2 linked regions of the Arabidopsis thaliana genome follow. The protein of the gene in region 2 purifies or fractionates together with the protein of the main gene of each other region. This does not show direct contact. Each region holds a gene or a part of one and is shown on either strand. Other genes may lie near its edges.

The links.
Region 1: the proteins of AT4G15770 (region 2) and AT3G26480 fractionate together in Arabidopsis thaliana (co-fractionation; one large-scale study listed by BioGRID). This does not show direct contact.

What each region holds. Positions count from the first base shown.
Region 1 is NC_003074.8:9,684,961-9,692,788, reverse strand, and holds AT3G26480 (Transducin family protein / WD-40 repeat family protein), read left to right. Parts: upstream 1-1,822; 5' UTR 1,823-1,961; coding exon 1,962-2,081; intron 2,082-2,170; coding exon 2,171-2,347; intron 2,348-2,437; coding exon 2,438-2,584; intron 2,585-2,657; coding exon 2,658-3,003; intron 3,004-3,128; coding exon 3,129-3,247; intron 3,248-3,327; coding exon 3,328-3,405; intron 3,406-3,527; coding exon 3,528-3,692; intron 3,693-3,772; coding exon 3,773-3,817; intron 3,818-3,920; coding exon 3,921-4,090; intron 4,091-4,175; coding exon 4,176-4,254; intron 4,255-4,343; coding exon 4,344-4,420; intron 4,421-4,500; coding exon 4,501-4,630; intron 4,631-4,717; coding exon 4,718-4,847; intron 4,848-4,929; coding exon 4,930-5,096; coding exon of another isoform or gene 5,097-5,120; intron 5,121-5,146; exon of another isoform or gene 5,147-5,171; coding exon 5,172-5,516; downstream 5,517-7,828. Other genes in the region: AT3G26470 (Powdery mildew resistance protein, RPW8 domain-containing protein), read right to left, coding at 5,889-6,146, 6,238-6,645.
Region 2 is NC_003075.7:8,974,360-8,981,113, forward strand, and holds AT4G15770 (RNA binding protein), read left to right. Parts: upstream 1-3,535; 5' UTR 3,536-3,700; coding exon 3,701-4,264; 3' UTR 4,265-4,585; downstream 4,586-6,754. Other genes in the region: MO1 (monooxygenase 1), read right to left, coding at 44-189; AT4G15765 (FAD/NAD(P)-binding oxidoreductase family protein), read right to left, coding at 1,424-1,674, 1,774-2,002, 2,256-2,454, 2,614-2,679, 2,782-2,852.

The DNA.
Region 1 (7,828 bases), on a different chromosome or scaffold from region 2:
GATCTTCGTTACAAACTAGGCGTCGATGTTCCACCTACGCCGAGTTTGCGGGGGGCTATTAGAGAGAATGCATCTTGTGTTGAGACAACAACTCGGATTGGTGAAGAGAAGAACCAGATCAGAGCTGTGATCGGACACGAAGCAGAGGAATCTGTAAAGGTAAATTCTTCAGATGACATTATCAAGAAGGTTCTGAGATTGGGCCAAATTGAGAATGCAGCAAACCTCAAGCCCAATAAACAACAGGCCCAAGCGCAGACCCTAAACAACTCTCAGCTCCAACGGTCATCTCCTGCAAAAGAAGACAAAACCAAAAGTACATCAAGATTGGATCAAAGGACAAAAACAAGGAGCTGTGCTGGAAAAGAAGGAGTGGTTTTACAAAACTGTTTTGACTGTCTAGGATCAATAGAGACCTGACATGTGTCAGTGAAAACCCTAGTGTCACTAAGATTATAATGCCTATGAAAGGAAACATGATGTAATCTTAAACCCTAAAGAGAATAATCAAGAGAAATGAAATTTATCTTCTTTATATTTAGCCTTTGAGCATCTTTACTTTCATTGGTTAAGAGAACACTGAAAGCAACAATTCATATGTATAAAAATCTGAAAAAATAATTCAACATTCTAATTCATTAAACGTAGGATTTACAAAAGTCCCACTTTGTCTCCCATTTTTAGTCATCGTTCATGATGGTTGTATGCGAATAGTTTGATGAACAACTATAATTATTACATTTAGTTTGTTTCCAACGAGCCATATGTCAATGTTTGTTACGCTACAATTTTTATTTTTCTTATTTCTTAAACTTTTTACTTTGGAATAAGTTGATATGTATATGAATCATCTACCATTTCTCGTTTTTTCACAATAAATCCTAAATTTTTTGAACATTTTGTCTATATATAACTTTTCCATGACATAAATTAACCTTAGATAATATTGTATCTAAAGGTATAAACTACCGTTCCAAGTCTGATTAAACTATTGACCCTAAACATTTTTAAAACTGTTAGATCCACAAGACGCACAACTAGTTGATTGCATAGTCTTTTGAAACAAGACAAACAAACACTATATCAAAACAATATCATCTTTCTAATTTTATTTTAGTTATGTCGCTATCTATATGAACGATTTTCCGATAAGCTAGTCATATGCAAAAGATTTATAAAAAAAGTAATATGTTGACGAGGAAAGTGATAGATTGATAAATTAAGAACATAAATGTTTTTGAAAAGAAATTATAGCTAAACTGTCATAAAATAAAATTATAAAATAGATTAACTTATATATAATAGAAGCAACTTCAGTTTTTTAAAACATTCATGGAATTAACGATGGATATCGAAGTTTATTGGTCAACCTAAAATCATACCCATACATTTTAGTATTTATTGGACGACCTCAAAAATCAAAGTCATTGTCGACCATTGTAATACAGTTAATGTCGCATACTATGCCTCTGAATCATCCATCCATATTTTGTTAAAACGAAGTGAGTTTGTTAACTACAAAATTTCCAATTATTGGACTATACATTATATTTTGTTTATCCACAGGGTTTTTCACATAAATTAAGAAAATACAAAATACTTAAGATCTTGAAAAATTATGTAAGTTATTTTCTTGCCGTCTCATTTTATTAAAGATAAAACAGAAAAAATAAACAAACAGGCCGAGGCCCAACAAGGTCAAGGCCTAGTCCAAGAAGCGAAACCCAAACATGGAGGAAGAGAATGAGAGGAGTCATCACAGAGCCAGGTGTTACGAAGAAAGTGAAACTACAAGTACAAGCATATAGTACTAAGTACTAGTCGCAATTTGGTCACAGACATAATTTCCTCGAAAACTGGGTACATTGTAATATTTCGTCGGAAAAACGTCGCAAAATCTAATTTTTAATCGCCGAGTAAGATGTTTGCGTCTTCTCAGAATCTCCGTGAGTTGAAGGAAAATGATTCGCGGCGGAAGAAACAACATTACTTCCGCTCCGGCGTTTTCGAAAGACGCAAAGAAGCTTCTTTTATGCACAGCCAACACCGTCTCTGTTTACAGCGTCGCCACTGGCTTAAAGGTTTTATCTCTCGACTCGAGCATCCTTCCTTTTAGGGTTTCCCTCTAATCTTCTTCTCTCATTAGCGTATGCGTGTGTGTGTTTTTAAGATTACTTCACTCGAGGATCATACAGCGCCTGTGACGTCTGTGATTGTTGATCCGTCTTCCGACGAAACCGTCAGTTACTGTTGGACTTCGTCGCTCGATGGGAAAATTCGGATTTGGGAGTTCTCTGCGCCGAAGCTTTTGAAGATATTTGATACCCACCTTCCAATTCACTCTCTGGTCTGTTAAAGTTCCATACTTTGCAGCTTATAAACAAAAATTTGATAACTTTCAATTGCCCTTTTCTAAGTGTCTGTTGGGACTTTGTAGGTGATGATTCCAGCTCAAGTGTCACATTCCGTGATTGCTTATGTTTCGGTTGAGGACTATTCAAGTGTGTCCAAAGATTTGTTTGGACAAATCCGGAGATATGATCTCACTCAAGACCCTCTTCATAGTGGAGACACTTTGAAAGAGGTCAGATTTGTGGATTAACCATTTTTCGATTAGCCTCATGTTTGATTCTATAATCATTTTTGTTAATGTGCAGATGGAAGAACCAAAACCTATTGTTTTAAGTCCCTCTGGAGAGTTTTTCGGCGTCTGTCATAACTGCAGTATACATATATGGAATGTGGCATCAGAGCACCTCATGCCAAAGGAGACGACATTACATCATACAGAGTTGATTACTGTTTTTGCTTTCCATCCCAATCAGAGAATATTAGCAGCCGGTGATGTAACAGGAAGAGTGTTAATTTGGAAGGATAATGGTATTGGAGAATTTACTTCAGTGAAAACTGAAGATGATACTGAATCTTGCACTACTTTCAACTGGCACAGCGCTGAAGTAACCGTCCTTAATTTCTCTTCAGATGGAGCACTTTTGTATTCTGGTGAGTCTGAGTTATTTTTTCATCATAGTGACTGTATCTCTGTGTGTTGATAAGGAATTCATGTTTCTTATATATATATATATTGAGTTCTTATGCTATATTTCCTTTGCTTGTGACTCTTTTAGGGGTAAAGGCAGGTGATTTTGTTGTTTGGGAGCTAGGTACAGGGAAGAAGCAACTTTTGCCAAAGATTGGATCTCCCTTGTTGTATTTCATCTTCTCTTCAGATTCAACTCTTTCTTCTGTAAGAGTTTTTCCGTTTACAACAACCGTAGAAAGCAAATGAAGTGTTTCATTAACTCTACTAAGATCAAGAATTTTCAGGTGATTTGTGCAGATAATCAAATTCATCTTCTTAAAATGCCTTCCATGGAGATATTGAGAACGATATCTGGAATCAAGGTTCGTTCTTACTATCATCCGAAATTTTTCCTTGTTATTGTTGGTTTAAGCATGCTCATATTGTATACCGTTTCTGTTGGAGTTAACTTCACATGCATATTGTGTTCTTTACTATGTAATAGCCTCCGACACCAGAGCGTCACGGGTTTATATGCTACGTCAAAACGCGGGATATATGCCTCACCAGAACTGTATCCATTGATCGTTCTTCCGGTATAGCTGCTTTCTGCACAGCGAATCATCGTGTTCAACTCTACAACCTTTTAAGTGACCATGACATTTCAGAGGTTAGCTTCCCAAAAGGCTTATTGAGTTTTGTATCTGATAGTTGTATGATTTTACTATTTAACAAACCTAACATATGCAGGTTCAAATTTGCGATCATCATCCAGACGATGATGATCAAGTCCGGGTTAGTACATTTTGTTTCTTCTCTGTAAGATGACATAGTTGTTACTAGTAAAAGATCCGCTCTCTTTCTGTTTTGTAATAATTTGAAGAATTATGGAAAATAGGTTCTCGTGACTGCGGTTGCTCTCTCTCGGAATGGCTCAGTAATGACTACAGCTGAGGCCAGATTTGCTGCAAGCAATTTCAGTGAAGGCATAGTTTCTCTCAAGTTTTGGGTATTTGTACCGGACAGCAAAACTTTCAGCTTATCGACAGTCATAAATCAACCTCACAGGTTTTTACTTCAATGTTCTTATAAACTTTTAAACTCCTTGATTCTCATCGTGAGTGTAACTTTTGATCCTTCTGTATTCTCACAGGGAAGCTGCAATTACAGCCATTGCCCTTAACCCCGCCCGTTCCATGGCTGTTAGTATATCTTCTGCTGGGGACTTCAAGGTAGGATTACAGAGTAGTGAAAAATGGATCATTTCCTTGGAATATCGTTTGACCTTTTGTGTTACTGATATGACTTTATGTCTGTCAAGATTTGGGTTTGCAGTAGCGACAAGAATCTGACACCTGAGGACTCAAACTGGATTTGTCATGGAGTTGGCTCTTATAAGTAAAAGATTAGGAACCTTTTAACATCTCTCATTACTTAGTCGTTGTGATGTCAAATGAAATTGATGTAATATTTTTCAGGAGAACGCCAATAACAGCTGCTGTTTTTTCCGGGGATGGTTCTTGTCTGGCTCTTGCGGCTAAAACAGTTATTACGATCTGGCACCCGTTAAAGAACGAACTCCTGTATGTAGTTGGAAAGGCAAATGCGGTAAGACTTGTATAACACACAAAAGCAATTCCATGTTCATTAGTTACAGTCATTGTTGAAATCTTAAATGATATGTAAATGTTTCAGCCAATTATGGAACTCTCATTCACTGGAGGAGGCTTCCTTATTGCTGCATCCCATGGTTCCACACCGCACTTATCTGTCTGGGATCTGATGACGTTCTGCTTATCATGGTCATATAGATTATACATAGAAGGTTTATTATTTATCTTTTTGATCATGAAATCTTGATTTTTTTGGTTGTCTAAGTATATTTCATTTTTCCTGTTTATTTGCAGCCATTGCTACTGAAGTGGACTCACCATACTTTGCAGTTTTAACATGGCTTCCAGAATCTGATAGGTTGGTAAAATCTAACGAACAGATATTCCGCGGGAAAGATGGTGCTATCCTCTTGTTTGATGGGTCAGGCCCTAAACCAGTAGCTATTTGGACTGTAATGAAGGTATATACTCTAAGGAAGGATTAATCAAAGTTCTCTCATTGCCGTTAAGAGACTTGATTACAATGTTTATTGCAGGCCAGAGGAGGAACACTTTCATTTGTGGAAGATGGTAAAAAGTCTCAGCCGCTTCTCGCGTATGTAAACAGGAGCCATGAATATGTTCTATTTGATCCTTATAGCGATGAAAAACTCGAGACTAGCGCCATAGATTATGAAGTTTTTCTTGCAGCAATAAGCAAAAAGAAGAAGAGATCTAGGAAGAAAGCATTGATGTCAGAGAAACCTTGGGAAACAATGTTTTGTGGATCAACACTCAATTTCCCGCCTTTCCCCGACTTGTGCGCTTCGTTCTTCAGTTCCCGGATGCAGAAAGAGGTGTGTGAGAGAGCAGATAGACAACCTGAAAGACATAGCTCTTGAGAGACCCCATATTTTGGAACCCAACTTGGATAACATCATTTTGTTGGTAGCCTTTTTGTTAGAGATACAATCTGATTCCTTCAGCTACTAAAAGGGTTGTTTTGATATTAAAAGGGCTTCATTCATCATGTAGAACCTGCTGATTTGAGGTGTATAAACCAATTCTCTCTTTAATACGTAAAAAAGTAAGGTCAATTGTAACGTATGGAAAAAGAAGAAGCTAAAACAGAGTAGTGGACGATAAATTATATTTAAAATTGTGACTGAAACATAATTTAACAAATTGAAAAACATAAATCGAAAGCAATTTGTGTTTTAAAGATCGTAGTCCGCAAGGTTGAGTGGGTTGCAAGTATCCTAAGTCGTATGTGGTCAAGCAGGAGGATTCATGGAGGCTGCAGGAGGAGACATCATCGGTAGGAGGGTCTCGGGGTCAAAGCCGTTGGCTCGTAGTAAGACATCTTGCGCTCGCTTCATCGCAAGCATGTTGTTGATGACGTTGTTGGAGAAGGTGCGGAATTCAGCCTCCAAAATGGTGACCCGCATATCCATGTCTAGGTTAGGCTGGATGTGCTGGTACTGAATTGAGCCAAGTCCGTCGTAGTCACACCCTTTGGTTGATGTGACGTGCTGCAAAAGAAACGAGTATTATAGAGATGGCCTTCAAACTTGGTGAACAAGAAATCACAAGGGAGAGAGAAGAAAACAAAGATAGATAGACCTCATGGGAACGTTCATCAGAATTGGCCCGGAGAAGATGAAGATCGGCAAGGATGTGTGTCAAAATGGAAGCCCTAAAGAAATCAGAGAGGGTCTTCTCTAGCTTCTCCATTTTCTTCATGAGATATAACTGTCGAATCATATTCCAACGATTGCATGTTAAGAATTTGTCCATGAGTTTCTTGCCCTTCTCTAGAGACTCAAAGAGTATACGGATTTGAGCCTGGCGGTGAGCAGGCAGCTCAACTCCACTGTACTGGATCTCTTTGATCGTCGGTTGAATGTTCTCGATCAAGGTGCTGAGGTTGTCGGCTGTGTTTTTGTACCGGCCTGCTCTCGCAGATATCAGAAAGAGCTGCTTCAAAAGCTCCGTCGCTATCTCACCGGCGAAATAATCAGTGACGGCCATTTAGTAAAGGATATGTTAAAGAGAAAAAGTGTGGAGATAGAGAGCTGAGAGACAAGGGGATATGAACTAATTAATCTGTATAGAGGAGGAATTCACCGGTGGAAGTTTCCTAGCAACTCGAAGTGACAAGTGACATCTCCATATAATATTTGTTCAAGAGTTCAATGAAGAAGAAACAAGGAAATTAATGAGAAGGTAGACGTATATTTTATTTTGGCATATTGTCTTGTTTACAAATTTTTAATTAAGGTTTCTTAGAGTCAAATTACTGACATATACACTGACGTAATATGATCATATTAAATCGTTTGATTGGTGTATGTACATATTACTGCTGAGTTTGTGGTTACAAGCAAATCTTATAGATTCCTTTTTATTTTTTACTTTTTTTCTTTAAAACTTAAGCAAAAACATAAACATGACCATATTGTTATAGATTCTAAAAAGTTCAAAAACTTAAGCAAAATTAACGTCAATGAATTACAATACCAGTTGTATACTATTAAATATAAACAAATTATAAAACGACGAAAACTTATCATATATTTTTCAATCCTGCTCTTTAAGGCAATATCAGAATATTGGATAATAAGCTTAAAAAGCAACGTTAAAAAAAAATGAGAGAGATATTTACATTTTTTGTAGTGTGTGTGATGGTACAAAATACAAAAAAAGAATTGTGCTTTTATAGAATAAAAGGTTAATATTTTATTTTACCTTTTGTTTTTTTTATTTATTACAAAATTATGGACTGCCGTTGGACCACTCACATTAACGTATGAGAAAGAACTGTACGCAGTTAATCTACTTTTATTACTAAAAAAGCAATAAAACAAAAATTGTATGCAGTTAGCCGCCTGATTTTTATTTTTTTGCTTATTAAAAATTAAAAACAGTTTATCTGTCACACATTTTGGACTACCAAAAATCTGACTTACCATTCAAAACTTTTAATATCGATCCATAAAATGCAAAAATAAATTAATCTTTTCGTTCTACCTCAAATCTCTAAATTAATAAAAATATGTGATTTTAATTTATACATATTTTCATGTATAAGTATAACTTCCACACGCAAGCACAGTCACACTATCAAATCTATGGATTCAGGTTACTTATGACACGACGATTATATATTAATATTTATCAATCACTATACAAATATGACACAACATCACAATTC
Region 2 (6,754 bases):
TCATAAAGTTTGAGTCTCATTACAAAATAAATTAATAACAAACCTATGAAGAGCAATGGAAGTGGCGAGACCAGCGATTCCGCCGCCGACGATAACTATTCCGATTTCCTCCATTTCAAAGCTGAGATTTTCAGATCTAAAGTTTTGTTTGGGTAGTTGTTTTAATATCTGTAGTCCTATAGGTAACATGTAGTATAGTGTTTTTAATTTATTTATATAGAGTAGAGGAACAGCGAAGACTTTTCATTAAGACAATTAAATTACTTGGGAGACAATCAATTTACGTGAGTGTGGTGGGTCTTTGCGAGTCAAACAAGCGCTCTTTGTTTATGAAGTAACTTGACCTGTTGACGCAAGCCTATGACGCCACTTACATTAACTCGGCTTTTGGATAAAACAACTAGTTCCATCCAATATCAATTTTGTGTACTTGTTGTAATGAGTGTGACTCAATACTTATCTTTTTGGCTTTTCCTAGTATATCAAAAATCTAAACTGACAAAAAAAAAATCGATCTTCTATACTATTAAACTTTTGATATATATAAGAATAAAGATGGGATCATCAAAAAAAACATCTTCGAATTGAGCCTTTGCAATTCTGGTTTTCTCTAGATAAGTTTTCTATCACCTCCATTGATTCAGCTTCTACATTTTGAGTGGGCTACTGGATAATTTGACATTTCTCTCTACATTTTCTTGGTTCTGTTTATGTTATAATGCAGACTTTAAGTCTTTTATCAACTAGGGTGGGGTTTTTGTAACACAAATGATATGGACTTCTCTTCCTTCATCAAAATATACGAAAAATGTATTTGAATAATTATTGATTATTTTTGGTCCAAAAAACTTGAATCCAGAATTATTAATTGGATTAAAATGTTTTTGAGAATATTTTTTTGCAGATGATACCGCCCATAATTTTCTTAAATAAGTTTTTGATTGGACTTCTTTTGTCTTTCACAACTCACAAGTGAGAAAGACTAATATCATAGTTCTTTTAATAATCGAACAAAAATTATCAGAAGCGAACAAACAGGAAACATTCGCAAGAACAATGAGTAACCAACCTCATGATACAATCATCTCACGAAGCACACAACTCTCGCAATTTAGACAGTTCGTACATAAGATAAATTTATAGACTGCCACAATCATATCGAGTATGACCAATTTGATCACGAAACAGAATCATCAACATAACTACAAGCAATAGCTTCCTAACCGGCGAAGAAGCTGCTATTAAACTACCGGTAAGATAAGTTTGTGTCGAAAGCCCCACGAGTCTACCTCTTCTTTCCCTAATGTACTCATCAATTGCTTCTTCTATTTGCATCCTTGAAGAGAAGGAAGATACATTAATTATACCGTCTTGACCTAAATTTAACTTCCTCCACAAGCATCTAGCCAAAACAACACCGTCCTCAAGCGCAGCCGAACATCCTTGTCCTAAGAATGGGCCCATTAGGTGCATACTGTCTCCGGCCAACTGTCACGGTGCCACGTCGGAATTTTCCAGACAGAACATCCCAAGGAGCACGGTACCTTAAACGGTTGATATACAAAGAGTCCATATCACAATTCTTCACCATCTCTTTCCACTCTTCTGAGAATTCGCGGACTGATGCTAGTGCCAATCTTGCGATATCCTCTTGATTTTTTAAGAAGTTTGAGTCTATTTATAAAACAAATTATAAATACGTTAGTGCGTTATATGAAAACAATAGAAGTCTATGTATAGTATGAAATGTAGCATGACCGGGTTATTAATTACCTTGGGGACAATTTCGCAAAACAACAAACCAAAAGACGAGTTTGTGAGTTATAGGAAGTCGTCCGCTTACGACGTTGTCCATCTTGATTCTTATAAACTCTTGTCGGAATCCATGGTCGTCCGGGTAATTTGTGAACCCTCTGATGGCCCGCGAACCGAGGTCTTTAGTCGGGTTTAATCCTAGAAATCTAGAGACTACAGAATTTGACCCATCGCAGCCAATCAAAACCTAAATTAAAAGAAAAGTATATTATCAAAATATATAAGACCCATGCATTTCATGCTAAACATGTTGCTTTCAGTGAAAAACAAACAAAACACAAACCATTAAAACCGATCACGACCCATAAATGTCACTGTCGGCTAATATAAAGTATATACTAAAAAAATTCCACTACGGCATCACCTCAATAATTGATCAATAAATATATCTACTGTTGTTAAAACGTGCCTTTGCTTTGATAGCTTCTCCCGTTTTTAACGTGCACAATCGGAAACGATTTTGTTTCGTCGAGCTTAACCGACAAAATATGGCAACCAAGCCGGAGAGTGCCAAGAGGAAGAGCATGAGCCAAAGCTCGAACCAAGTCGTTCCTTAGTACACCTCTTACTTCTCCATAGGATGCTGGTCCAACCGATTCTCTTCGTTTAATACCTTTCTCGATCAAAACATCTCTTATCCTGTTTTAGTACCATACCGGAAATCATTATAACTAGATAAGGTTAGTTAAAATATAAATATTTATATACTTACTGATGAATTGGGAGAGACTTAAGACGAAGCTAGCTTATCGGCGACACCAAGTTGTTGAAGAGCAAGCCAGCCGTTAGTCTGAATACCAAAATGCTGCTCCTTCCGATCTTACAGACTCTGATCTCTCCAACACAACGCTCTTTATGCCCTTCCTTTATAATCATATTTGTATGTTTAGTTAGTCAATAGTTCATGTATATGTTTTCTAATTTAAATTACCTTATAATTGAGAAAATGAGGAGATTATAGTGAACCTGTGAAGAGCAAGGGAAGTTGCAAGACCAGCAATGCCTCCTCCCACGATTACTATGTCCAATTCTTCCATTCTTCTATATTTGTATTTCCTCCAAATTTTATGATCGTTATGTCCTGCAATGTCGTGGACTTATATGTGGGGGTTGAAGCCACATGGCAATATGGCATGTCGTGGTTGTACCTTGACCCGCGTATTTTTCGTTATCTATACATATTCATTCACAGCGATTTTTATTGGTATTTGTCGATTCATATATCAATTAAACTGTGTATCACACAGATCGTTATATGAAACCAATTCTGAAGAGAGAAAAAAAAGAAAAGAAAAATTTAAGCCTTCTTGTGTTAGAATTACTAATTTTAATAATTTATTTAATATTTTTACTGTATTAGTGATTAAATGTATAATTTACTTAATCTTAGAAGTATATATATATATTTAAAACAATTATTTTCTTACACGTTATACAATATTTGTAATTAATTGTATTTATTTATATTAGAAATATATATACCTTTTTCTAAAATAATATATTTTTGTTTTGTCAATTGCCCTTATAATATTAGTAATTCATTGTATGATTTCCTTATAATATTTTTACACATGAAAAAATCTCTAACTAAACATCTTTTCAATAAACTACATGAACTATCAAATTTGTTATAACTTTCAGTTATCCTCCAAAGTCCAAATATTCAAAGTGAATTATTCATGGGTTGGATTTAACAAAAATAATAATTTCGAGGTTGAAATGACAATAGATATTTTTAAAACAAAGGACCAAAGTCGAAATAACAAAACTCATCGGCCGCATTAGGTTTGGTCCTAAATCCCTAAAACCCTAAAAAAACACAATCCCTCTTAGAAACAGAGAGCTTCTCTTCTTTCTCCATTATTCATCACTTTCTTCCCCGAAGATGCGTCCTTTAGACGAGACCGAGACAACCGTCGTCTTCGAGAAGCTCTTCAAATTCGTCGGCAACAACCTCAAGAAGATCGTCGAGAACCCATCAGACGAAGGACCCGAATCTACACCCGGCAGCTACTGCTTCCGCCTCCAGAAAAACAGAGTCTACTACGTCAGCGAAGCCCTCGTGAAGCGAGCCACAAACATCTCCAGGAAAAACCTAGTCTCCTTCGGAACCTGCATCGGGAAATACACTCACGCCGGTAGTTTCCATCTGACGATTATGTCACTCAATATCTTGGCGGCGAATGCTAAACACAAGGTATGGCTTAAACCCACTTCGGAGATGTCGTTTCTTTATGGGAACCATGTCTTGAAAGGTGGATTAGGGAGGATTACTGATAGTATTGTTCCTGGAGATGGTGTTGTTGTGTTCTCGATGTCTGATGTTCCGTTAGGGTTTGGGATTGCTGCGAAGAGTACACAGGATTGTAGGAAATTGGATCCTAATGGTATTGTTGTGCTTCATCAGGCTGATATTGGAGAGTATTTGAGGGGTGAAGATGACCTTTGAAAGTTTAAAGGTTTTGTCTTTGTTGTGTCTTAGTTTGATTCTGCTTGTTGCTTTGAGTTTTAAAGTATGTAGCTGTTACAAGTTTCGTGGAACTTGGTTCTGGATCTATGAAAGTCTCGATTTTTATAAATCTGTTTTTGAGGTGTTTTGTGAGACTCTTGAGTATGTAAAAGCTAAAAAATTTACATTCATATGCGAATTTTCAAATCTGTAACCTGATGATCAAGATTTGTATTGGAGACAGGTTGAGTTTCCTGATATTGCTTTGATTTTTATACTTAAAAGCTTCAAATTCTTCATCAAGCTTGAAACTTTGGAAATTTACATACATATGCTAATTTTCAAATCTGTAACCCTAATGATTCAGATATGTGTTGGAGACAGATTGATTATGCTGATTTTTGAGACAGATTGATTATGCTGATTTTTGAGACAGATTGATTATGCTGATTTTTCTTTGGTTTTATAGTCCAAAAGCTTCAAATTGTTTTCAAGCTTCAAACTTTGGCCTTTGAGTATTAAGGGTATGTGACTGTCACAAATTTTGTGGAACATGGTATTGTATCTATGAAAGTCTCAATTGTTCTCAAACAAGAGTATCGAGAAGCTACAATTGTAAGCTGATGAATCAGTTTTCTGTATGGAAACAGATTGCTTGCTTTGATTTAAAACTTCAAAACTTATTACTGGGCATATAGGTTGTGTACTGCTGCCAAATAATCTGGAGAAGAGATGTTTAAACCAATTAAGTTCTGAAATCTTTCTGAAACAGATTGCATAACTTTTTGGGAAAGATATTGAGGGTGTTCTTTGAATAAATATGTTGTACACTGAAAATTTCCCACATTAAGAGTAGGGGATTGATATTCATCATCTTTTCAAACGTAATCTTGTAAAGTTCAACTTCAACCCAAAGTCTTGGCCTTTGTACGTTTGTTCCTCACTTGGGAATTGGGATGCAAAGCTGTGTTGCAAAATGTTTAGAAATAATATTTACTGTTATATAGTTTTTCTGGTATCATTAGTCACAAAGCCCGTCTAGCTCAGTTGGTAGAGCGCAAGGCTCTTAACCTTGTGGTCGTGGGTTCGAGCCCCACGGTGGGCGCTTTGTTTTTGTTTTTTTAATCCAAATTTGATCATATTCTGATTTTAGTTTTGAGTACCTTGACTAGTGACTCTTGAGCATGTGTTTTATGCAAGTTTTAAGATATCCTCGCCTTTAATTACGCTACGTAGAATATGTGAATTAGTATGGTACACCCAAAGAAAGAACACAAATACTTTATATAATAATACAACATCCAAAGTCAAAACCTTACAATACATATGGTACCATTTTGTTCCCCTCTCTCTCTCTTTACTAATCTCTCTACTGAAGACTTTTGTCTCTGTTTGTCGCCTGTCTCCGCCAAAAGCTCTAAGTCTCTAACCATCACGTAGAGTAATTTGTTGTGTCTTCAATCCGTGCAATTAAATCCATGACAAACCGATATCCAGATTATGAGAACAAGTAGTAGCAAGATCCCAAGAACCACCAGTTTTATCTTCATGTTCTGGTACCACAATTTCCTCCTCACCTGTGTCCCTTGGTTTTCTTGTATTCCCGCGCCTTAAAGTATACAAATTAACCCTTACATTAAAATGGCTATCACAGAAAGTCTATGAATTTAATGTTTGGAGTCAAGTTTGCCTTTACCTGAGAGCGTAGATTCTCGGTCTTGTCAGTAAGAACTGTTAGATTTTCCCCTCTGTCGATTGCCTGAAAATGGATCAACAATATTGGAGGTGTATAAAGCACAGTGATTTTTGCAGACTTATCATTGTAAAAGGTAAAGCAAAGGAGAATGATTTGTTGCTTGTCTTAAGTGTGGAGAAAGACATAAGAGAGTCAAATGATGAGCATTACCTTGTCAATATTCTCCAACATTATACTTTTAACTTCTGAAACCTGAGCCTTGACTTTTATTAGTTTTTCAATCTCCTCTGCATGGTCAACAATATAATTCATGTGTTCCTTCATCACCGGCCTGCAATATTTTAATTTTACCATTACCTTGTATTCAATATATTATAGAACATTTTCCTCAAATATTGAAATGTTTTCTAAGTACCCGAACTCCTTGTTGAGACTTTTGGCGATAGCTGTACTTGCTTTTCCACCTCCATATCTCTTCTTGAAATCAGCTTTCACACGCTCCAGAAATGCGATCGAGATTTGCTTGCTAAGAGAATCTTTCGCCACAACACAATATGCTGAATAAGAAATTTCAAAGAGCCACCATATATAAGTGAAATGCAATCCAAACCATAACAAATTATTTTGAAACACATGTGTGTAGTTTCATCTCCAAACCATAACAAATACAACTACATACAGAAAGAAAGACACAAACATCTCCAATCCGCATCACGTAAAGGTATCACCAATAATAAGACGCGTAATGTATTCATCATAAAAACTAAACTACCAAACACTGAAAGAATTTTGAG